7 linked regions of the Rattus norvegicus genome follow. The protein of the gene in region 7 interacts with the protein of the main gene of each other region in a pairwise test. Links are inferred from orthologs where the notes say so. Each region holds a gene or a part of one and is shown on either strand. Other genes may lie near its edges. The genes, in order: Cib3, Fuca2, Naa10, Cntnap2, Emd, Syt17 and Meox2.

Region 1 (4,632 bases), on a different chromosome or scaffold from region 7:
GAATGTTTAAGCAACAGGGAGAATTTTTCTTCAGGATCTAAGGTAAAGCTTTCAGGCTCTTGTTAATACCTGCTTCAGACAGGGTCACTCACTAACCTGGAGTTCTTCATACACAACTGTTAACAGCAGCTAGAATGGACAAGGGGAGCAAAGGGAGGGGCATCTCTCCTTGGGGAGGAGGCTAAGAGAGAAAGATAAAACTCCCTAGCAGAAAACAATTTTTCTCAAGCAAATTATTTCCAAGTTAAGCACCAAGAGGATCAAGTAAAACTCCTTGACAAACAAAGCAAATAGTTTCATGATTTTAAACACAGTCGTCAGTCCAAGATTTTAAACACAGTCGTCTATCCAAAGTTCAAAAACGAAACAAAAGTCAAAAAGACACTCGACAATACCACAGAAAACAACCCAGACAAACAAGACCAAGACAAAGCATCCTATAACCAATTTCCACAGATGTTCAAAGAAAATTAGGACACAAAGAAGACAAACAATTCCAACAGTCAGACAGACAGACGCACCGCGCGGCTTCGGTGTCAAACTGAAACCAAAAATTCAGACAGAGGCGACAAGGGTCCGGATCCTTCAGTGGATCCGGCTCTCTCCTCTCTCCTCCAACCCAAAACCACGTATCCTTCCGATACAGGCTGAGCCCCGAAAAACCGGGCTCTAAACACCCTTGGAACGTCTTCCAGGGCTGCGGGGGAGAAGTTCGAGCTCGTCAGCTCCTTCTCTGGCCCGCCCAAATACAAACGGTATAGACCCAAGCCAAGTAACTAAGCATTTACAGAACAAGTCACAAAGCAAGACAAGACAGGACAAGACAAACACTGGCCAGCTTACCTCCCGGTGGGTGGTCGGTGGTCTCTAGACAGAGGATCTCCGATCCCGGACGAGCCCCCATATGTAAGACTCTCAGAGAGAATCTTCCCTCAGGAGGGAGATCCTCAAGCCCAATGACCAGTCCGAGTCCACAGGCTGCAATCAGCAAGAGGATTTTTATTGATCAGGATACACAGGTATCTGTGGGCGTCCCAGTCAATTCGGAAGACTGGCGCGCCTAGCAGAGCCAGGGTGGGCTTTTTATAGTATTTTGGGGAGCAGAAGCAGGCTTACAGAAGCAGATGCATGGTTACAGGGATGTGATTGGTGGAGTAAATGAGGCATACGTGTATGTTACTTATTTTGGCTATAATCATAACAATGAGTTAGCAAAAAGTACATGGTGGTCAGGGCTTCCAGGGGGTCAGGGACTTTTTCTTTTTCCTGTCAGGTGGCCCATGGAGTAGTGCCCATAATTTAGTCTGGTTTCTGCATTTTGTTTTCTTTTCTGGTCTGTTTCGTCTAAATGATGGGTCAGCTTGTCCCACATATCTAAAAACTTACTTTTTACTTCTATAGTTGAGGGCCTTGGGCTTGTACAATTCCCTTTCTGGGAGGGGGGTCTTTCAATGTAATTTCCATTCTTTCTGCGAGGTTCATAGAGGTCGGACAATTACCCAAGGCTACACAGCTAGCCAGGGGGAAAGCTAGGGTTTGAGCTTGGGTGTGGGCATGGCCTTCTCTTGAAGGCGTCCCAGACAGAATGGCTTCTCTGTGACCTCTCACAGCCCTCTTCCACACCTGTGGACACAGTCAAAAGGTTGCCCAGAGAGCCAGGCTGTAACTTGAGCTTCACTAAGCTTGGGGCAACTGACTGGATGGGTGGGCGGGTGACAGCCAGGGGTCATTGCGCAGACACTGTGTGCACAAATGCCCCTGAGGAGCCACCTGTAATTTCAGTTCCGGTGGATTCAAGGCTGCGGTGTGCAGCATGGGTAACAAGCAGACTGTGTTTAGTCACGAGCAGCTGGAGGAATACCAGGTGGGCATGTGTGGTGGATCCTGCCAGGCGGGCACAGCTTGGCCTGGGATACGGGCAGCTCAGAGTCTCCTCAGAGCCCTATTTGTGACATCAGGCTATCTGTGTGGGTTTGGACTGCCTAGAGGGGTACATGGGGAGACGACCCGGAGGCAGATCTGGGTCAAGCCGGTTTCTCTCCCCACAGGACTGTACTTTCTTCACGAGGAAGGAGATCATGAGGTGAGTGGGGGATGAAGGGAAATGATACCCCAAAACAACTTTCTAGTCAGTGCTGGGCCTTTGTGCAATCTTCTGGTTATTGTTCTTTCTGTCTTGTTTGTTTGAGAAAGGCCTAGGCTAGCCTCAAAATTACCTCTGCCTCTTGGGTGCTGGGATCGATCACAGGTGTGTGTCACTGTAGCTGGCTGCAATTAAGAAATATGATTGTGAGGGGTTGGGGATTTAGCTCAGTGGTAGAGTACTTGCCTAGGAAGCGCAAGGCCCTGAGTTCGGTCCCCAGCTCCGAAAAAAAGAACCAAAAAAAAAAAAAAAAAAGAAATATGATTGTGGGGGCCATGATTTGTGAGTGTGCAAATGTGCCCTGGTACACTTGGAGCAGTCAGAAGAGAATTTGTAGAGTTGATTTTTTTTTTCTGCCCCCTTTAAGTGGGTTCTGGGACTGAACTCAGCTTTCAGTCTCTTTCTACCACGTGGGTCTGAGGGGTCAAACCCAGGTCATCAGGCAAGGCGGTGTGTCTTTACCAGATTAGGCGTTTGAGTCATTTGCCGTCTTGGATCCTCTTGATTTCCCTTTTCTCGTTCGTCCTTCCTTCCTTCCTTCTTTCCTTCCTTCCTTCCTTCCTTCCTTCTTTCCTTCCTTCCTTCCTTCCTTTCCCTGAGAGATAGGGTTTCCTCTGTGTAGCCCTGGCTGTCCTGGAACTCCCTCTGTAAACCAGGCTGTCTTCAAACTCACAGATCCACCTGCCTCTGCCTCCCAAGTGCTGGGATCGCAAGCCTGTAGCACCATGCTCAGCGTCTTTGCAATATGAAGAGAGCTGAGATGTAGCACCATCGAGTTTAAAGCTTCGATGACGATGTTGCCTGGAGGTCCATGGACTGAGGCAGAAACGCCTGGCTAAGAAGTCACACCCTGCCTGAGCCACGCACCGGCTGAGTTTTTGTATCGAGGAGCTTGTCCTTTACCCAAGGGTGTCAGGGAGCCATGGAAGGTGCCTTGGAGAGGCGCATTGGCGCTTTGAGGTTGGGAGTGCAGGGCAGAGCTGAGATCCAGCTCTGAGCTGTGAGGGGCACAAAGGAGATTGTGCTGGGTGGTGGCAGCTCCTGGGCGACTGACTGCAGGTTCTTGGCTTGAGCCCAGCAGGATGGACACTGATGAACCTCCCATGTCATCCTTCTGTTTGTTGATCCATTATCCGTGAAACCTAAGCCGGCTGCGGTTCAGCTGTGGGGCAACAGGCCGAGCCCCTCTTGTGTGGGTACAGGGCATCCATTATTGATGGGTACACCTCTAACCCATCAGCCTATTGTCTGTGAGGACAGCTGGCAGGTCACTTTGGCCGTCATGATCAGATTACTGGTGGGGAAACTGAGGCTTGGGCAAGGAAGACATCGGTTCCCAGGGCAGATGGACAGAGTCCTGATAAGTGGTGTTCTGACTGCCCAGGCTTCCAGATTGTTAAACAGAATGACCAAGGCTGGGAGGAGAGAGGAGCTCACTGGATGCCACAAAAAGACACCAACTCTATGGGTCCACAATATGGCTCAGCAAACAAAAGTGCTTGCTGCCAAGCCTGAGGATCAGGGTTCAAACCCCAGGACCCATATAGTAGAAGAGAATCCACTTCCACAAGTTGTCCTCTGACCTCAACACCTGAGCTGAAGCATACACACAAATAAATACGTAACTGTAAAAATACTTTTAAAGAAAAGGTAAACACGACATTCTCCCACAGGACCCCGGGGATTTAGGACTGAGCCTTACCAGCCATTCTCAAGTATGTAGTCATGAGAAAACCCATGGATATCCTTGCTCCTCTGAGATAGTTCCTAGCAGCTTTTGGACATCAGAGGTATCAAAGGTGGTCTCTTTGAGGCAGGTGAAGAATGTGTACGGAAAGGTTATATGTGTGGTGGTCAGTGTTTCCTATGTTCCCTTTTTAAAAAAAAATCCAGAAGCAGCACGAGCCCGTCACTTCCACACTCGGGGAGCAGAAGCATCAGGAGTGTGAACATTAGTTGCTTGTCTGTGCCCTGCTTCATCGGAGGAAGCCTGCCTAGCGTAGACAGCAAAGGAAGCGGTGGCTGGGGTGGAGGAGCAGTAGAAGCAGGATCCTGCGAGGTGATGGTGGAGTATATAGGTTATACCCTAGATCCCTCAAACGCTGACTGTGGAATAATCAGCCATTGGCACCTCCTTCTTCTAGCTCCATTTTCCTGGTGAACTCCTACTCCTACTTCTAAACCCAACAACAATGCTCCTTCCTCCCGGAAGTTCTTTCTTTTTACCTTGTTTCTCCTTCCTCGCTCTACCTTGGCCTTGTCTATGGGGAGGGTGACAGGGCTCTGTGCACTCAAGATTCAGATTCATGCCTGAGGCTTCTGGGGACCCAGCATCCGTCTTTGTGGAGTGAGTCCAGTCAGTGTTCAAGAAGAGGGTCAAATCCCTTCTGCCTCTTGGGTCCCAGCCTTTCCTGGTTTCTCTCTTCCCACACCAGGCTGTTCTATCGGTACCAGGACTTGGCCCCTCAGTTGGTGCCTCTTGACTATAC
Region 2 (3,022 bases), on a different chromosome or scaffold from region 7:
CTGCCCTTCCAACCTCACACCGTGTCCCGTACCCGAATTGGAAGAATATATACTAAAATATTATAAAAGACCTAGGAGGTAACTTGTGTTTCAAAATGTCTCCAGCCAATAGGAGCTTTATAAACAAGAGGGGAGCCTTTACAATGAAAAGGGTAACTATGGACTTCCCTGGATGCCTACCTCAAATCTAATCTATTACATACTGCCTGCATTATATACAAGGATTCAATGACAGGGTGATGGGGGATATGGGAGAGACCAAACATCCTGGATGGCTTCTACAACAGGGAGTTATGCTTCCTTTCAGTCCTGGAGGGCAGAAATCCAAGATGAGGGTGTTTGAGAGACTCGGTTTCTTCTGCACTCCTCCCCCTGGCTTGTGGATGAATGTCTCCTAACGTGGCTTTCCTCTGTGCTCTTGTATCTCTACTGTCTCCTTCCCTCATAGGACAGCAGATTCTCTGGTATTAGGGATAACCCTATGACAGCCTGATCTTACCCGTCTCTCCAAGGTCTCTGTTTCTAAAAACAGCCGTGTGGGGTGTTAGGGCTTCAATATAAGACGAGGAGTTGGGAGGAAATTCAGTCCATAGCATCGCCAGTTCCTAGCTTCCCTGGAAAAAGATTTCCACCTGCCGTGAGTGACATGTGACATGGACTCAGTAGGAAGAGACTTTGGAGGAAAGCATGGTCAGACGGTGACACGAGCAATGTAGGGAAGAATTTAGGAAGAAAGAGAGGGGAAGCTGCATCGCGTAATGGCTTCAGTTTTTATATCATTTTTATATCATTTAGTCTCTTTAGTGTAACAACAACAACAACAAAAAAAGGAAACCCTGACGTTTCCTGTGGTTAGAGGCTCCTGTAGAACGCATCTGTCTGCTGCAGGTTAAGTGACATTGGTTAGTGCCAGAGTCCATCCCCATTTACAGGGCATCTGATGAACGCTTAGCCGGGGCAACTCCACCACAATGCCGCTTGGCTTTGAAGATGTCCAAGTCAGTGGCCGTCCGTGGCCCAGTAGTTCTACCTGCAATCGGAAACAGGGACAATGCGTAAATGTTCCCAAATACATCCCGGTGATGTCCACTGGCTAAGGAATTAGAGTTTCTTAAAAAGTGCTAGACAGGGCTCCACTTCTACCTTTGGCACTCGCACGCTCTCTTACACTCATTCCTGTTGTCCCTGTTACCCCTGAGACACGAACAAACGTGTGCACAGGTTGGGAAGGATGCTTGAAGACAACGCGGGAAGTAACGGGGAGCACTCTGCCCAGTTCTTACACCCAGAATAACGACTTCCTTCTGGGTAGTCACTACTGTCAAGTTTTCCAGTGATGTTTTACCCTTCAATAGTGTATGGATTTAACCAGTGGTATCGACGGCTGTTTCGCAGTCTTGGTCTTGCTCATTCTAAGAGAAGTCAAGTAAGTAGTTCTGAACATACTCTAGGGTTACTTGAACCATAACGCTTCATCACATGGAAAAAACGCAAAACAAAGCCCTGAATTTTAATCATACTAGTTAATGCCAAGCAAGACATAGATTTAAAGAAAGCAAAACAAAACAACGAAACACTGCCGCGTCCAGGTTTGGAGACTGCTTTAACACTAGATTTGAAACCCAGTTTTCTACCTGGTCAACCTCCATTGTTAGAACTAAAATGTGAAGGGGAGTCACAAGAGAGTCACAGGATATTTCATTCCAAACACATCAACTTCTAGAAAAGGGCCCAAGATACATTGCAGGGCACTCCACTGGGTCTGATGACAGCCTTTAATAATCACAAAAGAATGACAACATCTTTCTTTGATTTGACATGTTCTTGGTGTGATGTTGGAGAAGTGCGATGGTTTGAATATGCTTGACCCAGAGATGGCAATATTAGAGGTGTGGCCTTGTTGGAGTAGGTGTGTCACTGTGGGTGTGGGCTTTAAGACCCTCATCCTAGCTGCCTAGAAGTCAGTCTTCTCCTGGCAGCCTTCAGATGAAGATGTAGAACTCTCAGCTCCTCCTGCACGATGCCCGCCTGGACATTGCCAGGCTCCTGCCTTGATGATAATGGACTGAACCTCTGAACCTGTAAGCCAGCCCCAATTAAATGTTGTCCTTATAAGGGTTGCCTTGGTCATGGTGTCTGTTCACAGCAGGAAAACTCTAACTAAGACAGGGAGGCCATTAAGGTTCCTTTCACATGAGGTTCACGTGAAAGTTTCCCCTAGAAGCTAAAGCAAGCTATGTTCTCCCCAACGTGGTTTACCCTCACCAACTAAAGGAAGAGTCATGATAAAATTCATTCTTACCTCTGTTTCCCCCAGACTACCTATGGGTTGTCCAAGAAACAGCTTTCCAGAGATGGGCCATTTCAGAAAAATAGCATAGACTAATTTCTTCTCAGGTTTAGATGTGTACCTGGTTAGAAAAAACAGACAAAAAGACCCTGCCATTGTATCAAGTTACATCCCATGTCTGTCCGTATTTCTGGTTCATGTCTGCAATTGTTTGACAGATACTTGACAATGTCACCACTAGTAAAAAAAATAAATAAAAGGCCCACTTTCCTCCCATATGGTATGAAAAGTCCCTCCCTTTTCCAAACCTCCAATATTAAAAGCAGGTTGGTTTTTGCTCTGTCTTGTGTCAGTCTTAATCTGTAGCTGGGACAAGCCTTGAACTCAAGACAGTCCTGGTGCCTTAGTTCCCTCAATGCTGGCATCACAGGAGTGTTGCCATACCTGCTTGAGAGGAAGTTTGGCGGGTGAGAGGATCGGTGAGCTAATGTCTCTCTTCGAACTGCTCATGTGGAGCTGAGAACAGAGCGTAGAAATAAGCTAACGGGAGCTAGCTAGGCTTCCACCTGCGGATATAGTGTTCTCACTATTAGAGATGCAGCAGAAAGCCAAACACGGTGCTTGGTTTTTACGTGCCTCAGGCTAGAACGGAAAATCACGCAAATAAAATATAAGTCTTGAATCACAATGTGAAAGAAAACATAAAATTGTAACAAATGGTTGTTTTTGTCC
Region 3 (3,074 bases), on a different chromosome or scaffold from region 7:
GCTTCTCTGTGATAGTCTAGGAGTAAAGAGAGATAGACTAGAGCATGAGCAAAGGCTGAGAAATGGCTGGCTCCAGGAAGCATCAAGTAAGAGCAGATGAAAGGGGACAGCAAGGAAAGGGGGCCATGAGCAAAAGCAATGAGGGACCTATTGCTCTGAGTGTTTCTGATGGCTGAGGGCAGGACTCTGGACATGACCATCTCTATGAAGAGAGGACTTAGTAGTACCTAGTGCCACTTGAAAGTGAGGCTCGAATAGACTAACTTGAGGAACCACTGAGCCACACTAGACTTTGAGGGGGTCCAGTGAAGATGACACCATTGGAACAGGATGGTGGTCTTCAGCTTTTCTGGGTTCAACATCCATATTCATGGAGGGACTTTTGACCTAGTTAAGATGCCTCTGTGGCAGGAACTGCTTTACCTGCTAAGTCAGCAGTTCCCAGCTGGGTATGGTAGTACATGTCTCTTAATCTCTGCACTCAAAGTGGAGGACTGTGGGTTGCAGTCCCAGCATAGGGAGTTCCAGGTTAGTCTCAACCACATAGCAAGACCCTGTCTCAAAAGATGGGTGCTGAGGAGATAGCTTAATTGTGAGGACTTGTGTTTGATGCCTGGCACTCATGTATAAAAGCCACATACAGTGCCCTGTACCTATTATCCTAGTGCTGAAGAGGTTAAGACAAGAGAATCCCTAGGGTTCACTAATCAACAAGCCTAGTTGAATGGACAAGTTCCAGATTCAGTAAGAGACCCTATTTTGAAAAAAATAAGATGGAAAGCAACTGAGGAAGTTACCCAGCATGTATCCCTAAAGACTGGCAAGGAACCTTCCTAGGTCATCAACGGGTTTCTCTTCCAGTGTCAGGGATACTTAATTGTGCACACACACCTCCCTCCCCTCATCCATCTGGTGAGTAACCAGGTTGTCTATGATGACCATCTACATGCAGGTACAGTGTCCCTCTTTCCTAGCAGAGGAACTATGTGTTCAGTAAATAACAGGGAGCAGGTCAGGGAGAGGAAGGCAGAATTAAGGACTTCAACTCAATACACAAGTCCTTGATGGTTGGGCTAGGGACAAAGTGGTAGCAAGTCTAGGAATCAGAAGTGCCCTGGATGCTACATGCTATTTGGCTTTACTTGAAGAGCAGAGAAAACTATCATAGCTGTTGAACAAGAATCCAGTCAAATGAAAAACAAAAAGGAGAAACCCATTTACACTGGCTTTTTGCCTCTACAAAGGTCCTACAGGGGGAGATGACATTTACCCCAGTAGCCTAAGAACCTGGAGAATTTGCCCCTAGGCATGTGTCTTGATCCTACCCCCAGGATCAGCGAAGTGGAGCCCAAATACTATGCAGATGGGGAAGATGCATATGCAATGAAGCGGGACCTCACGCAGATGGCTGATGAGGTAAGAGTTCAGCCAGGCCAGGGCAGCAATTCCAGCAGTAGAGGAGATTCTGTAATTGGGAAAGGTGTCTATTTTCAGTGAGACCACAGAAAGTACAGATGTCAAAGAGCTGTGAGACAGAGTGAGGCAGTGGCGACTAGAGGCAAGACCGAGACTGAGTGTCAGCTTTTGTGGTTGTAAAGCTAGGAATCAGAGCCCCTCTTTCCCTTACTCCCTAAGCTGTCAAGTCAGGGCATGGCCTTCATTGACTGTAAAGGAGGCCATGGGATGCTTTCTGGGGAAGAAGTCTGGAGATGGGTGGAATAGGAGAGACAGTAGGAAGATTTTTTTTTTAACAGAGGAATTGGGACTACTATGGTTGGGGGCAGCCTGCTCAGATCTAGGATTAAACTGGGCTAGGGAGAAAGGGTCTCTCTGACCAAGCCTCCTGGAAAGGCACTGCTCTGTCTTGGGGGCTTCCCAGCAGCGTATTTGAGGGCAATAGAACTCATGTCATTTTACAGATGAAGCAGGCTTAGGACAGAGGTAGGATTGAACTACATTTCTACCCAGTCCTATTTCCTGCCTTGGCCCTACCACTTCTCACTGTGTCCCTTCCCCCAGCCAGCCCCAGGGCCTGGCTCCTCTTGTCTCCTGTCTGGAGACTTAGGCCCTGTCTCTTTCCACCCGCTTCCCTCTGGGCTCCCGGCGGCAGCTGAGGCGGCACCTGGAGCTGAAGGAAAAGGGCAGGCACATGGTGCTGTCGGCCATGGAGAACAAGGCGGAGAACAAAGGCAACGTGCTTCTGAGCTCAGGAGAGGCCTGTCGTGAGGAGAAGGGCCTGACTGCTGAGGATAGTGGTGGGGACAGCAAGGACCTCAGTGAGGTCAGTGAGACCACAGAAAGCACAGATGTCAAAGACAGCTCAGAGGCCTCTGATTCTGCCTCCTAGAACCTGCCCTACCTGGTCCCAACCTCACCCCATGTGCTTTTTACAATAAATGTCACCCAGTGGCCTTGGGAAATTTGTGAATGTGCATAGTGGGGTATGCTTTTTTTCCAGCTCCTATATGGCAGGGATACTATCTTCACAGCCCAGAGCGTACTGAGCTCACAAGTCAAATGTTTGAGGATGGGACCCCAATCTGGCTTCCTTCAACAACTGAGTTGGAGTTGGCAGATAAACTGTCTTGGGTGCCATATTCTCATGTCACTTTCCTGGCCTTCTACAGATCTCTGTAACATCTTTAGTAATTTTCTAGGGCTGAACAAAATGATTTCTTGGGTTTTCTATTCAGCCTCACATTTCAGAGGCAGCTCCCCTACCTTGATGTTCTTTGCTGCATTGCTTTACCCTCTCAGCCCTTTACTCCTAGTCATACTTGCTCTCTCATCAGTAGGAGCTCCAGTTTATACCTCCTGGACCCCAAGTGCTTAAGTCCAACTCCTCTTTGCACTTATCTGGAGAGATCCTAGCTGGATCCTGGCCTATTCAGTTACCCAGTTGCTCAGGCTTTTCCTATCTGTAGCCTTTTAAAAAATTTTTTTGTGAAACAGGATCTCTTACTTAGCCCAAGCTGGCCTGGAACTCATTATGTAGCCCAGGCTGGCCTCAAACCTATGCCAATCCTGCCTCAGACTCTAACGTGCTGGGATTACAGGCGTGAACCACTCCTCCA
Region 4 (4,366 bases), on a different chromosome or scaffold from region 7:
ATAAATTAATGCTGACTCAGGCCCTTTAACACCATACTGATTATGTAGTGAACACATAGCTCTGTTTACAGTAGACTTCTCTAAGATATAAGCATAACATTAAAATTCACATTCTATTCACAGAGTGGGGAAATCATCACAAAAATTTATTTATCACAAAAGGCAAATGTATGTTTATTGCATAACTCTGAAAGACAGCGTTACTCCTCCTCAAACCTCCCTAAACATCATTAGGTATTTAGAGATCTATAATTCTTAATTGTGTCAGTAAAGGCTGTGAAAGGATTGATTCTTTGGGGAGGAAATAATACAAGTACTTTCTTGGACTGGATGCTAGGAAAACAAATCAGTGCAGAATGTGGCTAGATAGGAGCTGAGGGGTAAGGTTGAGAATTATTAGTAAAATCATCTAAATGATTAGAGAAAGCAGCATTTCTATAGACCTTCTTAGTTATTAATACTTTCAACACTTAAGCACACCGAAGTAATTATCATTTGACAACATATTTACTCTACCTTTCCTTTTAGGGTTGTTTGTGTTTGTGGTGTGTGGTTTTCTCAGCATCATGTGTTTGGTGAATGTGTATATATGTATGTCTGCATCCATATATATATATATATATATATATATATATATATGGAAATGTGAATTAATTACATTTAAAACACCTGAATTAGGTACCTCTGAACAATCCTATCTTTCTCTGCTACAGCCAGCCAGGATGTTTAGACCTGTCATTTGGTGTTAGGATCACTCGGAAGACCTGCCTTTCGGACTCCTGATTGTGGTTCTTGGGAGTTCTAAGCTCCGGGAGCCTGTACCATCTCTATCTGAAGGGGAGGAAAGAAGCCAAAGAGAAAGCATCCCAGCAAGAGGTTTTTCCCTCCTACTGCTGGGTCAGGGACTAGCCAGGTCTGGAGCAGGGTTCTTAGATTACACAGCAAATCAACTTCAGCACCGCGGACAGCAGCGCCTCCCGCTTAGACTGAGGTGCATCTCTTCAGCCTTGGCCCCGACTCCAGTTAATGGACCTGAGCCACTAGCTTCCTTCTCTCCTTTGCTTCCAAAGCAAACGAAGGCAGGGCAGAAAGGTTGTTACAGCAAGAGGAGTGCAGTAGGAAAAGAAAAGGAGGAGGAGGAGGAGGAGGAGGAGGAGGAGGAGGAGGAGGAGGAGGAGGAGGAGGAGGAGGGGCCGGGGAGGGGAGGGGAGGGGAACAAGAAGGGAAGAAGCGGGGAAGCTTCCCTTCGCCAGGCTCGCCCGGGTCTGCAGGCGCTGCTGGAGGCAGCAGTCTCCAGCTCCCGGCTGCGGTGGTAGCTGCTGAGCTCTCTCTCCAGCGATGCTTCTTAGTGCCGCGCCACGCTGAGGCCGAACGTGTACGGGGGCTTGCCTCAGCTCCATACATCCTTGATCTCAGCCTGGGAGCTAACAGCCTACTGGAAAACCCTCTGAGTCGCGCTGCCCAGTGGCCACCCAAGCGCTCGCCCGCAGTGGCAACCGCAGCATCACCGGACCCATCGCTCTCGGTTCTTTCCTACGGTCTGAGTTCTCTCCAGATTTCCCCCACGCGTCCTTTGATTTTTTTTTCCAGAAGAGAGGGCGGGGTAGGTGTCAGTCCCCTCCTCTCTCTCACCCCTCCTATTCCTTCTCGGTTTGAATTTCTTCCCCTGGCATTTCACTGGCTCTCAGAGCAAGAGACCAGACCCACAGAGAGGGGAAAGCCAGGCTGCGCCTCCCTTGCTGCTGCCAGCCCAGAACTGGAACCTAGAGAGGGTGAGGGGAGAGGAAGCAAAGCAGGAGGAGCTTGGCTTCCTCTCGCATCTGAGGACAGACCGGTTCACTTCAAGAACCTCACAGAGAGGCAGACTGCATCTCTGCAGCGAGCTTTTGGAGTACCACTGGCCCGGAGGCTAAGGATGGTGATTTCTCTGAGAGCAGGCTGCAGGGCAGCGCTCTCGCTCTGGATTCTCAGCAGCTTCATCTGCAGAGCCTGGACAGCTCCCTCCTCCTTCCGTAAGTAGCTCTCTGCTTTCCTGGCTCCTTACTGGAGTCACTTCAGTGCCGCATTGATGTAAGGGCGCCCGGGTATCAACTCTGAGGTGCATTCTCAATTCTTGTCCCTCATGTGTGTGTGTGTGTGTGTGTGTGTGTGTGTGTGTGTGTGTGTGTGTGTAGGATACTTCCTGTTTGTAGCCACTGCCGCAGAGAAACTCCAAACCGAGGAAGCTCCTTGTTCAGTGGAGATTTTCATAGTGCTGGATGCTTCTGGAAAGTTGTTTCTAGTCTTGAAGATTGCTCCGCAAGTGCTTGGTTAGAGTGATGAGAGTAGCCGTTTCTTGATACTTATCAGTGCAGTATGGAGATGATTACATATTACTTAGGACAGAAAACTAGCATAAGTTTTTGATTTTTATTGATGGCTTTTACTTGTGTTGGTCTGAGGAAGAAAGAGGAACATATTTCAAGCAGTTTGGGCACCTATGCGTTTACTAATCTCTTTGGCCCTCCTAAAAAGTTAATGCTCATTTAACCCTTCCTTAATTGTATGTATTTTTAAAGTGAGGCTAATATCGAGACTGACACTGCACTAATTCCTTTGTGGTTTGGAGTAATGAGCATGACTCATGCAGGCTAGGACTTGGGACAGCCAGTGCAATGGCATAAGAGATGGTCTGAAAGTTTTTAAGAAAATGATGTAACTGCTCAAAAATTTGTGCTTTTAAGGAGGGGGGTGGAAGAAATGGAAGATCTGGCCAATTTTATGCATTGCTTTAGAAATTTATACTGTGTATGAAGAGGGGAAAGGTATAGTTGGCTTTGTCTGAGAAAGAGTTAAACGCTGGACTGATTCTGTAACACTTTGCACAGTTTTCCTAAGCATAGCCTTGTTTGTGAGATTGGGTGAGTCCATTGTTGAAGGAGAATGGAGTTCAAGGGGAAATATTCTCCACTTAGGATACATAAGTTCAGAAGTTTCTAGATGCTTCACACATGATTTGCACCCCATACCTCTTTATAGATTCTGTGGCTGCATTAATGTTCACCTTTGTCTGTATTTCCATATTAATATAATTATTACACCGTATAAAATATTCAGAGCAGCCATGAAATAGTTTTCTTTTATGTTTTGATTGACAATCATCACCAGTGCTATGATTAGTAGTATTTGGACATATTCCCAAGTATACGTCATGAGATTCTTCTGCGTTGTTTAAAGAAAGAGGTGGCAAAAAAGAACATAACTAAGTTTTTGTGAACTTGAAACTTTTATTTATCTCAAAATATACACAAATCTAAAAATATGTGCTATTTTATCTGTGTTGATTTTATAGACTTAAATGGAAATTGTAAAGCTACCTTTAGTAAGTTATGTTGGTGGAATTTTAATTTTCACTTTAAAATATGCTTGTACAGTGGAATGGAATTGGCTTCCACGTTTTGTACAGACTTACTAAAAGTTAAAATACGTTGTACTTTCCTGTTAGAGTCCTTATTTCCCAGTAGCTTCCAGAATTCTGTATCTCATCTTTCTGTGTGTCTGAGTAGAAACGGGTCGATCTGAATCATTCACTATGCATCCAGAATTTTATATTTGCCCTTATTGCATTGGTATAGTTCAAAGATTCAAAAGTTATTTCAGAAATATGAGCTTAGCTTTTGCTGCTTAGAATTCAGTGAAGAACAACACCAAAGTCAATATGTTTAAAATTCTCGTGTTTGAGCTTTAGGGTTCATTTAATTGTTATTTCAAAACCTAAATAATTAAAATATATTAGGTTAAGATAAGGTTTTATTATATATGAATACGAACTCTGAAACACAAACAAAAGTTGCCTAAAACATCAGAGTGAGGATGGTAATGAGTGATACCTAAATTTACCGATGATATGGAATTCTCAAATTTATTTTTGCACATAATGAAAAATATGCATTTTGTGTTGTATTTTGAAACACTGCATGATACTTATGTTTTTAATACGTAGAAATGCTTAAAGCAGAAAAATTGTAACTCCATGAATCTAAGTTAATGAACATCTCAACCAGGAGGGGTCATCATGACACAGAAAGTAGTAGAAAACTCTAAAAGGAAGAGTCCATGTAGTCTGTGTTTGGAAAATACGATGGCTATGCTCAAACATCCTGCTTCAGAATAACTTTGTAGTATAGAGAGGCATTCTCGTATAGATGATTAATAGTTTGAGTTTTCTATTATACATTTCCAGCATACCCTGGCTTAATGAGTTTTTCTTTTTGCTGATCTGGGCATGTTCATATAGGTTCTACATCCTGTGTTTCATGCATTTCAACTTAAATTAAAAGAAACATATCTTTTTGATTGAATGAAATATGATCTATTTATCTGTGAT
Region 5 (4,546 bases), on a different chromosome or scaffold from region 7:
CCAGTGACCTTCACTAAAGTGTCATCAAGGCCAGCCTAGAGCTGACCAGAGTATTCACTATCACTATCATTTAGAAAACCCATGGGTTGTAACCCCTCTAATAAACCTCTATCTCCAAAAATATTTACATTATGACTCATAAGAATAGCAAAAATTATCATTATAAAGTGGCAACAAAAATAATTTTATGATTGGGAGTCACTACAACATGAGTAACCGTTGTGGTCACAACAAGGGTCACAGCATTAGGAAGGTTGAGAATCACTGATTTAAGAGATCAGGCATCCCACACACCTTTTCTGCATGTACCCCCTCTTCTAGATGTCTCCAGTAAAGGGCAGCTTACACCTAGAGCCACATGACTTTTCGTAGAATATAATGGTCATGCTCACTCTTCAAGGCAACCTTTCTCTGATCCAGATCCTTAGTGAGCCTCCGTCAATTCCCATGGTTTACCTTTAGGCCAGCAGTTTGGAACCTCTGGGATACTATTCCTTTGGGTCTCACATATTAGATATCCTTCATATTAGATATTTATAATTTATAATAGCAAAATTACACTTATGAAGTACAACACAATAATTTTATGGTGGTGGTGGGGTCATCACAATATGAGGAACTGTATTAAAGGGTCGGCAGCATTAAGAAGGTTGAGAGATACTGCTCTAGGCTTTGCACACTGTCTAGGCCTCTAAGGTCACACCAAGCTTAGAGACTCTGCCAAAGAAGACTTCTCCCCTCAAAACTCCTCAGGGCCCAAGGTGGATGGAACAGTGAGTTAGGCAGGTACAAGGTGTACCCATCTACATGCATCACATAGCAGGCACCTTCTGATTGTGCCCATTGGCATGCCCTGGACCTTTGGAAAGCTGCTTGGTCCTACAGTGTTGGCGGCCTCTTGTCCCAGTGCTAGCCCCATTTCCTCCCGGATGGAACTAGGCGGCAGAGAGGACGGTGGGAATGGGCCTGTACAGGTGTGCAGGCCAGGGCCATGGAGCCTGTGAAGACCAGCGGAGATGGGTAGCGAGTGCCAGGGGTCTGTGGGTGGTTATGTAGGTGATGAGAGTCCTGTATGACAGCACTTGTGCACACAAAGAGCTCGCAACAGCGTCAGGCGCTGTGGAAAGGTTTGCTCTCAGGATTGGACTCTTCACATTGCTGTGGACCAGACTGTGGCTGAGAATCCTAGGCACTGGAAATCAGGATGAAGCCACAAAGGTGTGTAAGATTTCACAGCTTGGGAAATCACAAGCCAGTTTTGGTCCGCTGAGAACACTTGTCGCCCCTCTAGTACGTTGAGCTTTAGCACCCTCAGATAGCCTAGCTAGCCCCGCCCCTCAGCTGCCTAGCTCTCAAAGGAAGTCTCCGCTGCCCCAAAATCTCTCCCGCAAGCCCCTCCCTCTTCCTGTTCGAGTCAATCTCACACAAGTGTGACGTTTGTATTTGCCAGTCCAGCCTGCTAGACTGGTCTGTACTGGCCGCTCCGGCGGATTTGGGCCTGCCCTGAGGAGAGCGCGCAACCTGCGTAGCAGCGGCTGTGACGCAAACGTGACGGCGGCTTGACGCGCCCACAGCCGCTCTTGAGGCGCTGGCGCTTCCTCTGCTAGGCTCCGAGCTGTCTGTTTCTTGGGCCCTGTGTATAGGTGCCGGCCGCCCCTGGCGTTCAACACCGCTTCCAGGTGCCGGCCGTGTCTGCCATGGACGACTATGCGGTTTTGTCCGATACTGAGCTGGCCGCAGTGCTACGCCAGTACAACATCCCGCATGGGCCTATTGTGGGTATGCTGCAGCCGGTGGCGCTCAGAACCTCTCGGTCCCCCGCTTTCCCGCGCTCCTCCCTGAGCGTTCTTCCTACCTCCTCCTTCCCTCAGGTCCCCTCCCCGTGTTCCCTTGTGCTCTTGGGGTGCTCGGCTCGCACCCGCTGACCGCTTCGCACCCTGTGTCTGGGCAGGCTCCACTCGCAAGCTCTACGAAAAGAAAATCTTCGAGTACGAGACCCAGAGAAGGAGGCTTTCGCCCCCCAGCTCGTCATCGTCTTCATTCTCCTATCGGTTCTCAGGTGAGGCTCCAACTGCACAGCCCCAAAGAGCAGCTTGGGGCACAAGGCGCAGGGAGGGAGGGTGTGGCTGAAGCTACTGAGGGAGTAGGGGGAAGTCTGGAGATTGAAGGTCCTGTACCTTCTCCTCCACATGCAGACTTGGATTCAGCCTCCGTGGACTCAGACATGTATGATCTGCCCAAAAAGGAGGACGCCTTACTTTACCAGAGCAAGGGTAAGGCAGGTGTGGGATGGGCACTGATGTCTTTATCCCATGCTTCAGGGATTTGGGCACAGTGAAACTCCAGACCTCACCCCCTTGTACCAGTTCTCAGTGGCTTCAGAGAGAAGAAACTGGCACAGCACACACACAGACTGGGGGGGGGGGGCGGAAGGTGGCAAGAGGCCAGGTAAGGGGCACCACTTTTTCCTCTACCACTGTTTTCTTCCTCAAGACTATAATGATGACTACTATGAGGAGAGCTATTTGACTACCAGGACATACGGGGAGCCCGAGTCTGTGGGCATGTCCAAGAGCTTCCGCCGGCCAGGGACCTCACTTGTAGATGCTGATGATACCTTCCATCACCAGGTGAGTTGTCTGGTAGGCATACCTGGGGTGTATGTAGCCTTAGGGAATTCTAGGTTTGGATAGTTCAAGGAGATACTAGGTGCAGAGAGTGGATCTTAGGCCTTCAAGTATGGTTAGGATCAGCATACAGTTGTTGGCTCAAAAGTTCTACGTTGGAACCTCCAAAACTATTAGATTTGGGGATGAGCATATATAGCTCAGTAGAAGAGCATTTACCTATGGTTTCATCTCCAGCATCCAGCAGCACACACAAATGTTTTTGGGGTTTTGGCATTTTTAAAAATTTAATTACTTTAATTATACCTATGTGTAGCCAATTTTTTGTTAGTTTGTGGGTTCCCCTCACCCTTTCACCCCCAATCATTAGATAGAGAAAGAGAGCTAAAGATCCCTGAATCTAATTTCTTTCTTCCTTGTGTCTTCTTTGACCCCAGCTACTAGCAAACTGTAACCAACCTCACCTATTGGGGCTCTAGTATTTACATACCCTCTGAAAAATTCCCAGAATTCCAAATACCACAAAATTGCAGAAACTATCTGCAACTCAAAAGCATGAAGCAAATCATAGCTGCTGTAAAACAGCCCCATATCCCACATCTAGGGTTAAAATAAAAACATTCTTATAATATTTCTGTGTTTCTTAAGCCAAATTTCAAGAATTCTCACTACATGTATGTGTCTGTGGGTAGTATGCATGAGTGCTGGTGCCTACAGATGCCAGAATTGTCAGATTTCCCCTTAGATTCCCCTTAGAGCTAGAATGGCAAGTAGTTGTAAACTGCCTGATGTGAGTGCTGGAAAATGACCTTAGGTACCTAGGAAGAACAATAGGTGCTTTTAACCACTGAGGCATCTCTGCAGCCCACAAACTTTTATGATCTGAGCATATATAACAGCACCTGTACTCTAGGATGTAGGTTTAAGCCTCCTGAGAATCCTGGGGAATAAAAGGATGGTGGGACAAAGTTGACAAGGTTTGTAACTGGGTGGCAAGGCCCCACAGTTAAAGAGGGCATGGACCCAGAATGATGGGGGGGCAATTTTCTGCCCCCTACAATGTGACTAGAGTAGGCTAGCCAGAGACATTTGGGGAAACCATTCTTTCCCATTTCTAATCCTAATTATCCGGCAGGTGCGTGATGACATTTTCTCTTCTTCAGAAGAGGAAGGCAAGGATAGGTGAGTAGTGAACACATGTAGGGACAGGGACAAGTTTGACACTCAGACTCTCCTGCCTACCTGTCCCCTTCTTTTGCTACAGGGAACGCCCCATCTATGGCCGAGACAGTGCCTACCAGAGCATCGCACACTACCGCCCCATTTCCAATGTCTCCAGGAGCTCCCTGGGCTTATCATATTATCCTACATCCTCCACCTCTTCTGTGTCCTCCTCTTCATCTTCTCCCTCTTCATGGCTTACCCGACGTGCCATTCGACCAGAAAAGCAGGCCCCTACTGCTGCTCTGGGCCAGGATCGACAGGTCCCACTCTGGGGCCAGCTGTTACTCTTCCTGGCCTTTGCTGCCTTTCTGCTCTTTGTTTACTATTCCATACAAGCTGAAGAAGGCAACCCCTTCTGGATGGATCCCTAAGGGTATTGGTTTCAGAGCAGCTCTTAACAGGAGTTTTGGCTGACTGCCTTAGCAGTGTTTGCTGGGGGTGGGGGGTAGGGGCTTTTTTGTGTATTCTAGTTAGAGGGTACAGGGCCTAGCCTACGGCAGTGCTTGTCTCCACCTCATCTTGCCAAGGAAGCAGCAAATGCTGGCTTTCCACAGCCCAGTAGGCCCGTATGTACCTTCCTCTGGAGCCTCCTAGCCTTATTGCCTCTGACTCTTAGGGTATGGGGATCTGGTGGGGAGGACCTCACTTCATTAGAGGAAAACTTGGTGGTGGCAGTGGTAGTTGTCATGCATGCC
Region 6 (3,877 bases), on a different chromosome or scaffold from region 7:
TCAAGGAGCTTGAGCACCTGTGCTATTATTAATTGATTTTTTTTCCTAGAATTGAACTCTTTTGGCTTGAGTTCAGGTCCGCAGCACCCATGTAAAAGCTGAGTTTGGTGGTGTGTTACCCTTTGCTGGGAGGCAGAGACAGGAGGATTCCTGTGCCTCACTGGCCAACCAACCTTGAGTTGATGAGCTCCAGATTCCATCCCAGAAAGAGCAACTGAGGAAGACGCCTGACATTGACCACTGTCCTCCACAGACACATGTGCACAATTACTTACAGGGAACCAGGCAAAGGGAGCCAGGATCACATGATGGTGGTAGAAGGCGGCCGGAAAAAAATAACACAAGGGGAATGCTACAGAATTAAATCCGGGCTGGATTTAAAGATGGGCTATCTCCAGCTTTAGAGGGCCCACCTTGCTTTGTTTACAGGGAAGGATAGGAGTGAGCAAGAGTCAAGTAGCTGAACAAACCCAGACTGTCTCCCTCTGCACCCCAAAGCCCTAGCTTGCATTGCACCTCCCTTCCTGTCTAGGATCTGTCCTAAGCTGGTCATCAGGATTTGACCTCTGCCTAATGGGTTAATACCACCACATTTCCTGAAATCATGAAACCCTGGGCCTGTAAAGATGACTTAGCTGGCAAAAGCGCTTGCCACAAAGTCTGATGAACTGAGTTTGATCCTTGGAGCCAGGTGGAGGAGGTAGAGACTGGTCTCCCGAGAGTCATCCTCTGACCTCCACATGGTGCTGTGGATGTGTGTGATCACAGAGAGAGAGAGAGACATGCACATGCCCACGTGTGCATGTACACACACACACACACACACACACACACACACACACACGAAATGTTACAATTTTTTTCAAAGAAAATAAATCCTGGGTCCGTAGAGGAGCCCTTCTTGGAAGAAGAGGAGGGAGTTTAGAGCTTGGGGACCTATGAGAAGAAGATGGGGTATGGGGTGGAACCAGAGAGGAAGGACCAGCTCCTGGCTTCCTTCCAGCCCCTCCCCCATTTGTGGGTGGTCGAAGGATGCTCTCTACCAGCAGGATTGGAGCAGGATTGGAAGGTAGGACCCTGGCAGGGGCGGGGGAATCAGCCTGTCAGATTAGCTAATCAGGCCCTCTTGGGCTGGCTTCTGGCTATTTCAGTCTGGGAAGGTTTGCGAGTCCCCTGAAGTGTGGCTGTGTGCTGAGTAGCATGACAATCTATCTGCCCGCTCTGATTCATAACAGCACATCAAATGGAAAAGCTCACATTTCCCGTTTATTCGCTGTTAGTTAACCAAGAGGCTCCCAGCAGCCCTGCAAACATAGCCATACCTTGGTAGTAAAGTCAGCTCCCTCCCCAGAATGGTGAGTGCAAAGAAGGTGTGGGGTGCTGCTTTCTGTTGTTTTTGTCTTGCTTGTTTTGAGTTGCTGGAATATTGCTAAACTGGTTCTCTCTCTCTCTCTCTCTCTCTCTCTCTCTCTCTCTCTCTCTCTCTCTCCTTCCCTCCCTCCCTCCCCTCTCCCTTCTCTCCTCTCCTCTCTCCCCTCTCTGCCCCTCACCCTGGCTTCACCGTGGCTCTCTAAAAGGGCAGTTGGAACCACTGAACGAGGTGGGTTAATTCAATCATCTGTTTGGACTGGATTCTAATCAAATGCTTGCTTTTCCGTTTGGAGTCTGGTGTGGGGCTGGGGCATGATTGAGTCCTGAATCACAGGATATTAACAAGGGTACAGTTTCTCTTCCCTTCTCCCAAAAGGGAGACCCTGGCAAAAGGGACATGGCTGGACAGACAGCATGTGTGTCCTGACTCAACCGGACTCCCCCAGTTTAGTTGCATGTCCCTGGGGCTATTTTTTTCTGAATTATCTTTTTTCCCTTTTGCCAGAAGAGAACCCTATGCATTGTGTGTTTGAGAACATATTGTCTGGCCCTCTCCATGTTGTAATAACCGCCCACCTGTCAAGAAAGGCACACACATAAACTACAAAGGCAAACACCTGCAAGTGTTTTGCTGCTCCGAATGGCTGCAGCACTTCTGTTTGCCTTCCTGTATGCCACAGCGCATAAATAAGAAAATTTCCCCCTACTTGCAATTCTGCTCTGGGGTGCCTATTTATCATGGGTGGGTCAATCCCAGATGGGCTTCTTATAACTCGGGGTGTTATCTCTCTTCTCTCTTCCTCTCCCAATGGCCCCAGGGCTTTCTTTCCAGAATCTCTGATGTGCTGCTGTGTGGATGGACTTGTCAACACTGCTGTCAGAGGTGCTATGAGTCCAGCTGCTGCCAGTCTAGTGAAGATGAAGTGGAGATCTTGGGACCTTTCCCTGCCCAGACTCCTCCATGGCTGTGAGTACCCTGCTTGGAAATTTACCTCCCAGCAGCCTCTCCACTGGAGGGAGGGCAGGATGGGGGATAGAGTTTCCATGGACATAGCTGAGAAGGGCCTCTTTGTGCCCCCTCATTTGTGGGCCAGCTGGTAGCACCAGCTGGTGGTGAGGCTCCTGCTCACACCAAGCTTCTGAGATGCTAGCCGGGCTATGCTAATCTTGGGGACACTTTAAGTAGTCTAAGTATCCAAGCAGAAAAGGACCTGTGTTCTTTTCTAAGGAACTTTGTGAAGGTAACAGTGTCTGAGTGCCTCCTTCCCAGGCAGCATGGCAGACTGACATTATGCCCAGCCCCAAGCCTGCACCAAGTAAATGCTCAGTGAATCTGAGATGCCAGCACCTTTCCGATGCTGCTTTTAGCTGGCCTGAACGAGGCCTTATAACCCGGATCCCCAGGGAGGGATGTTCCAATGCTGGTCGTGCTCACCCTAGCTTCTTCCGTTTTATTTCTAATCCACTCCCCTCCTGCACCCGAATACGACATCTCCATCTGCCAGTCGCTCAGATATTTTGGGAATGCAGTTTTGAAGCTCAGCCACATGTCTGATCCACCTCTCTGTGGCAGGGAGAAGGATGTGGTCAGAGTCTGGGGAGGAGCCAGGAGACCAGGGTTGGGAAAGACCTAGTAATAATTAACAACAGATGCTGCTGGGAACTCTGGGAGGGAGGCCCAGAGAGGAGATGGTGCTGGGTGCAAACGGAATCCAGGGGTAGCACTCGAAACTGATTCATCTAAGTCTTGGGCTGAAATTCCGGAAGTCCCTGGAGCCCCATTTTTCCTCTGGGTTGGAGGTCATGCCGTGTGTGCTCTTTCTAGAAGCAAGTTTCAGATGTTTCCAGGACACACTGGCTTCATGTCAGCATGTGTGAGTTCAGTCAAGTTCAGTTTCTTTTTTTTTTTTTAAAGATTTATTCATTTATTATATATAAGTACACTGTAGCTGTCTTCAGACACACCAGAAGAGGGCATCGGATCTCTTTACAGATGGTTGTGAGCCACCATGTGGTTGCTGGGAATTGAACTCAGGACCTCTGGAAGAGCAGTCGGGTGCTCTTAACCTCTGAGCCATCTCTCCAGCCCCAAGTTCAGTTTCTATGACAGCTTTCTAGCTCTGAGAAAGTTACTTGACTTTTCTGAGCCCTGGTTTCCCATCTGTAAAATGGGACGATACAAAAAAGTTAGTATTTACCACACAGGTTTGATGCATTTGTGTTTAGAAAAGACTTAAGAGTGCTTCAGACTTTGTTGATGATCAAAATCTACATCATTTGTTTGTTGGCTTGTTTATTATTGAGACAGGGTCTTACTATGTAGCCTTGACTTGTCTGGAACTGTCTTTATAGACCAAGCAAACCTCGAACTCACAAAGATCTGCCTGCCTCCGTCTCCTGGGAACTGGGATTAAAGGCATGGTGGCCTTTCTTATTTTTGTTTTTTTTAAGACAGAGTCTCAGGTAGCCCAGGCTGGCCCCTTGAATTTGCTACGTAGCCAGAGAT
Region 7 (4,334 bases):
TGCAGACATCCTCCTTGTAGACACTTCACAGACAGGACCCACTTTCCTGCAGCTCATTCTCCAAAGCTTGTTGTGGGTTAAAGAGAGGACCTCTAGTAGACTCTGTGGCAGGTCAAGCAAGCTAAAGGCTGTGTCAACCGCAACCCGGCTCTCACAAATTCACCAGTGGGCAAGTTTCGTAGTTCACTTCCAGGAGCCCAGGCTGTAAACCTGGGGGAAATGAACCATCATAGCAGGGTCGACTCTGAGGAAATGTTGAGTTTGCTATCTGCTTAAAACAGAGAGGTGGCAAGGAACGAACGGAATGTATGCAAAGAGGAGCACTGTAAGCTAAAAAAAGAAATTTCATTTCTCAACGGATGGGGGACGGGGTGGTGTGTGTGTGAATTGGCTCCTGTAGGGTTAGACTAGAAAGGGTGAAGCTGGGAGCAACTTATACTTGCTCAATTGATGTTTCTTAGGGTTGTTCCTGACCCAGAAAACTTTCCCAGTGAGCGAGTGTTGAGGAAATTGAACAAACTGGGTTGTTAAAGAGACATAGGGCTGGGAGGACACGGTCAGAAACAGAAGAAAGGGGGACACCACTTGGAGTGGCACATAAATATGTGCCACCAAGGCACCAGAACTTGCATCCATCTCTGCTTAAGGCACACCCCACTGGCTACCTCTCCATTCCGCACTCAGAGTAGCTCTGTGCTATCCTTGGTGCTCAGCCCTACAACCTCCTCTCTGGTGCGGGTTTTCTAACAATCTATCCTAAAACACCTAAAAGGGAAAAATATAATGTGCCCCTGAATGCGGGAAGTGCGAGTGGTCTTGGAGTTTGAAAAGCTAGACTGCTTCGCTCTTTTCCTTCTCTTGAACTCTAATAAGTTCTCTGTGATCTGAAAAGTCAGAGAGCGCCTGTAGGTGACTGCAACCCCCACCAAGGCTGGGAAATCTAGGTTCCAAGAACAGTGAGCGAGCACAGACACGGGGTGCTGGCTTAGCATAGTCGAGTGCTTCTGTGTCTGGCCACGGGAATCTATGGGATAGATCGCGGTGGTGTCCCTGAGCTACTGAGGCTCTGGGCGCTCCACTAACTGTTGTGGAAGCTCCCAGGACCCGACGGGCGTGGGGCAGCCGCTCCTGTCCTGCCAGCAATTGGGAACTGGAAATGAGAGAGTACGGTGGCGCTGACTGAGCGGGAGTTTTGGAGGGAGTTTGCATGTGGTCAGCGCTGGGCTCCTAAGCCAGCCCCCAGCTCACATTACACTCTATTTATAACCTCTCAGAGCCATTTCCCCCCCTGAAAGCAGTTCTCTGGGACCACCTTCTTTTGGCTTCCACCTCTCCCACACTTGACATCTGAGCAGCTGCAAGGGAAGCTCCTCCAGGTCCTAGTGTTTATACGTGCAGGAGACTGGCCGCTCGGCTCAGGACTGGGATTAGCGGGCTCTGCTCAAACCCGCGCGGCTTTTACATTAGGAGTGAGTGGGGGAGAGTCCTAGGATTTCTAGTGAAAAGTGACAGCGCTTGGTGGACTTTGGGACCTTCGTGAAGTCTTCTGCTTGGAAGCTGAGACTTGCATGCCATGGAACACCCCCTCTTTGGCTGCCTGCGCAGCCCCCACGCCACAGCGCAAGGCTTGCACCCCTTCTCGCAGTCTTCTCTGGCCCTCCATGGAAGATCTGACCACATGTCCTACCCCGAACTCTCCACATCTTCCTCGTCTTGCATAATCGCGGGATACCCCAATGAGGAGGGCATGTTTGCCAGCCAGCATCACAGGGGGCACCACCACCACCACCACCACCACCATCACCACCACCAGCAGCAGCAGCACCAGGCTCTGCAAAGCAACTGGCACCTCCCGCAGATGTCCTCCCCGCCAAGCGCGGCCCGGCACAGCCTTTGCCTGCAGCCTGATTCCGGAGGGCCCCCGGAGCTGGGGAGCAGCCCTCCGGTCCTGTGCTCCAACTCTTCTAGCCTGGGCTCCAGCACCCCGACCGGAGCCGCGTGCGCACCAGGGGATTATGGCCGTCAAGCGCTGTCACCCGCAGAAGTGGAGAAGAGAAGTGGCAGCAAAAGAAAAAGCGACAGTTCAGGTGAGTGTCGGCAAAACAATCCTGGGGAGAGTGCGCTCTGGGCTAGGAAGATGCAGGGGAGGTAGGGATGGTTCTTGTAGAAAGACAAACTAAGAAGCAGCTAGCGTTTCCTCTCTCTGGTGGCCGAATTCATCTATGCAGGGTCGGCCCTGTAATTCAGGAGCACGTGTTTCACTGAAGTTAATATATCTACATCCAGCCGTTCAAAGCCCCCCAAGATCGCAAATCAGTTTTCCAGAAGCGTTGAAGAAAGAGCAAGTGACACTATGCGAAATCGGTTAAGGAGCGTGGCGGTCCATCCACTGGTTGGGCGGGGTGTGCTCTTTGGGATGCTGCATCCTCTGGGCGTGCGTGCATGTCTCTGTGTGTGCGTGCATGCGGTTCTCTTTGACTTTTTCTTTCCAATTCCCAACTCTGAACAGCTAGACTTTTCCTATCATTAGCTTGGTTTCCACATTATTGCACAATATCTTGAACTTTAACTGGATTTGACAAAATACGCAAAAATAGAAAAGAAAAAAGAAAAAAAAAGAAAGAAAAAGAAACCCAAAACTTTTTATTTACATTTTATTTTCAGAGTTCCTTAAATAGCATTTACTTAAAATGATATTTAAAAAGCATTCTATTCATTTGGCGAAAAAGACATTATCCAGTAATCTAGAAGTGTTTAAGGAATACATCTGAAAATTGCGAATAAATAGATAAGGGCTTGACGAAAGGGTATTCTTATAGTGATTACACTCATGTGGTGCTAACATAGGATAAAACAAAACAAGCAAAAAAAAATCAATCAGCCAACTAAAGGAAACAAAACTTTTGAATTTCAAGAGTGGAAAATAAAAGCCTTCACCAATTGAGTACTGCTTGGAGGTGCAGCGAAGAGAGCTGACAGACAACAGCTCTGACAGCGCTGGAAGAAGATACAGAGAAAGTGTGGGTAACCTGAGCAGCCCAACAAAAGGGGAGCCTCCCAGAAGAATTCAGGGGCCTGAAAGTTCAATAGCCAGTACATCCCGGCAGCCCAGTAAAACTGAAAATTTCCAGGAAGCACAACAAAGCCCTTAACTATATTCCTCATTGTAAAGATGTTTACTTTCTTCCTTTCTTCTTTCCTTCCTACCTATCTTTCCTCTTTCCGTTTTCCCTTCTTTCTTTCTGTTCTTTCTTTCTTCCATTGAATCTTCCCTGTAGTTACAAGGCAACCTGGATACAGATTTTGGAAGACATCACTTAACTAGCACAGTGTTTGCATTTATTTAATTTTCTGTGTTAGCGACTTGAAAGTTAGAACATACAATTTGAGGCATTAGTTTGAAGAATTGAAAAAAAATCGCATTTGCAGTGTAGGACAGTAAGGGCTGTGTATTTTGTAAGGGGTTGAAAGATGATAGAAACTTTTCTTGACCCCAGTGTGGGCTGACTGCTTCCTTCCCAGCCGCGTTGAACCTGCGATTTTCTAGGTCCAGGGTGAACTTTTAATGCTCCATCATGATTAGTTATGTCTAAGAATGTTACCACACTGTCATTTTGTTTAGCGGTTATTGCTGAATGTGCGTGAAATCCTAAGACACTGAGAAGGTTCCTAAGAAGGCATTAGAATCCGCTGGGTTTCCTCAGATTGGGCTTCATGAGCACAAATGCTCCATTTGCTTCTGCAGGTTGGTAGTTACCTCAGGAAGGACCAGAAGCCCCATTCCCTGTTTTCTTTCTGCAAGGGGGAAACTGACCTACTTCTGAGCTGAACCAATGCCCTAAAGATTATTTGCGCACACGAAGGAATTTTTGTTCAGGCACAAGTTATTTTTGGGTGGGGAAACAGGGAAAGTGAGATGCCAAGCTCTTCCCAATTTGTTTTACTATTTAATATAACGGTCTTAATTCAACGTTATTTAATATAATGGTCTTAATACTGACTAGCAGTGGTTTTCATCACCTTTACCAGGGGCAAGTAAGCACACAGCAACGCCAAGCTTGTTTTAGCATGGTGAAACTCGTTTAAACACCAAAACAAGTAAAGAGAATAAACATTTGTGCCAACCACCCAGTGTATTAATACGTTACAAAGATGGGAAATATAATCAATAGGAAGGATAATGTCACTGGGGTTGACTGAGAATGAATGTTCCCATTGATAGACTACCGAAGTCAAGCATCAATTTTCTTGGTACACTATTGAAGATCAAATCTATGTCCTCAGACTCTGAGTTAAAATCAATTAGATCACAGGTATGCTTAACTCCAAGCCAT

The links.
Region 1: the proteins of Meox2 (region 7) and Cib3 interact in binary tests that used the Homo sapiens proteins (3 or more experiments, as listed by UniProt). The two-hybrid records come from large-scale screens. The link is inferred for Rattus norvegicus from reciprocal best matches to the Homo sapiens genes MEOX2 and CIB3.
Region 2: the proteins of Meox2 (region 7) and Fuca2 interact in binary tests that used the Homo sapiens proteins (3 or more experiments, as listed by UniProt). The two-hybrid records come from large-scale screens. The link is inferred for Rattus norvegicus from reciprocal best matches to the Homo sapiens genes MEOX2 and FUCA2.
Region 3: the proteins of Meox2 (region 7) and Naa10 interact in binary tests that used the Homo sapiens proteins (3 or more experiments, as listed by UniProt). The two-hybrid records come from large-scale screens. The link is inferred for Rattus norvegicus from reciprocal best matches to the Homo sapiens genes MEOX2 and NAA10.
Region 4: the proteins of Meox2 (region 7) and Cntnap2 interact in binary tests that used the Homo sapiens proteins (3 or more experiments, as listed by UniProt). The link is inferred for Rattus norvegicus from reciprocal best matches to the Homo sapiens genes MEOX2 and CNTNAP2.
Region 5: the proteins of Meox2 (region 7) and Emd interact in binary tests that used the Homo sapiens proteins (3 or more experiments, as listed by UniProt). The two-hybrid records come from large-scale screens. The link is inferred for Rattus norvegicus from reciprocal best matches to the Homo sapiens genes MEOX2 and EMD.
Region 6: the proteins of Meox2 (region 7) and Syt17 interact in binary tests that used the Homo sapiens proteins (3 or more experiments, as listed by UniProt). The two-hybrid records come from large-scale screens. The link is inferred for Rattus norvegicus from reciprocal best matches to the Homo sapiens genes MEOX2 and SYT17.

Annotation. Positions count from the first base shown.
Region 1 is NC_086034.1:17,654,710-17,659,341, forward strand, and holds the start of Cib3 (calcium and integrin-binding family member 3), read left to right. Parts: upstream 1-1,743; 5' UTR 1,744-1,813; coding exon 1,814-1,864; exon of another isoform or gene 1,865-1,994; coding exon of another isoform or gene 1,995-2,048; coding exon 2,049-2,083; intron 2,084-4,578; coding exon 4,579-4,632. UniProt on the Homo sapiens protein: Acts a an auxiliary subunit of the sensory mechanoelectrical transduction (MET) channel in hair cells. Plays a role in regulating hair cell MET channel localization and function.
Region 2 is NC_086019.1:9,718,645-9,721,666, reverse strand, and holds the end of Fuca2 (plasma alpha-L-fucosidase precursor), read right to left. Parts: intron 2,412-3,022; coding exon 2,303-2,411; intron 1,031-2,302; coding exon 890-1,030; 3' UTR 757-889; downstream 1-756. UniProt on the Homo sapiens protein: Alpha-L-fucosidase is responsible for hydrolyzing the alpha-1,6-linked fucose joined to the reducing-end N-acetylglucosamine of the carbohydrate moieties of glycoproteins.
Region 3 is NC_086039.1:156,806,738-156,809,811, reverse strand, and holds the end of Naa10 (N-alpha-acetyltransferase 10), read left to right. Parts: intron 1-1,244; coding exon of another isoform or gene 1,245-1,263; exon of another isoform or gene 1,264-1,278; intron 1,279-1,306; coding exon of another isoform or gene 1,307-1,319; exon of another isoform or gene 1,320-1,331; coding exon 1,332-1,416; intron 1,417-2,019; coding exon of another isoform or gene 2,020-2,110; coding exon 2,111-2,347; 3' UTR 2,348-2,434; downstream 2,435-3,074. UniProt on the Homo sapiens protein: Catalytic subunit of N-terminal acetyltransferase complexes which display alpha (N-terminal) acetyltransferase activity. Acetylates amino termini that are devoid of initiator methionine.
Region 4 is NC_086022.1:75,108,142-75,112,507, forward strand, and holds the start of Cntnap2 (contactin associated protein 2 precursor), read left to right. Parts: upstream 1-1,216; 5' UTR 1,217-1,915; coding exon 1,916-2,012; intron 2,013-4,366. UniProt on the Homo sapiens protein: Required for gap junction formation. Required, with CNTNAP1, for radial and longitudinal organization of myelinated axons.
Region 5 is NC_086039.1:157,188,848-157,193,393, forward strand, and holds the start of Emd (emerin), read left to right. Parts: upstream 1-1,590; 5' UTR 1,591-1,697; coding exon 1,698-1,779; intron 1,780-1,871; exon of another isoform or gene 1,872-1,951; coding exon 1,952-2,059; intron 2,060-2,195; coding exon 2,196-2,273; intron 2,274-2,493; coding exon 2,494-2,630; intron 2,631-3,762; coding exon 3,763-3,809; intron 3,810-3,891; coding exon 3,892-4,222; 3' UTR 4,223-4,546. UniProt on the Homo sapiens protein: Stabilizes and promotes the formation of a nuclear actin cortical network. Stimulates actin polymerization in vitro by binding and stabilizing the pointed end of growing filaments. Inhibits beta-catenin activity by preventing its accumulation in the nucleus.
Region 6 is NC_086019.1:182,189,106-182,192,982, reverse strand, and holds part of Syt17 (synaptotagmin-17), read left to right. Parts: intron 1-1,063; exon of another isoform or gene 1,064-1,352; coding exon of another isoform or gene 1,353-1,355; intron 1,356-1,577; exon of another isoform or gene 1,578-1,582; coding exon 1,583-1,600; intron 1,601-2,189; coding exon 2,190-2,338; intron 2,339-3,877. UniProt on the Homo sapiens protein: Plays a role in dendrite formation by melanocytes.
Region 7 is NC_086024.1:59,582,644-59,586,977, forward strand, and holds the start of Meox2 (homeobox protein MOX-2), read left to right. Parts: upstream 1-1,381; 5' UTR 1,382-1,573; coding exon 1,574-2,087; intron 2,088-4,334. UniProt on the Homo sapiens protein: Mesodermal transcription factor that plays a key role in somitogenesis and somitogenesis and limb muscle differentiation. Required during limb development for normal appendicular muscle formation and for the normal regulation of myogenic genes.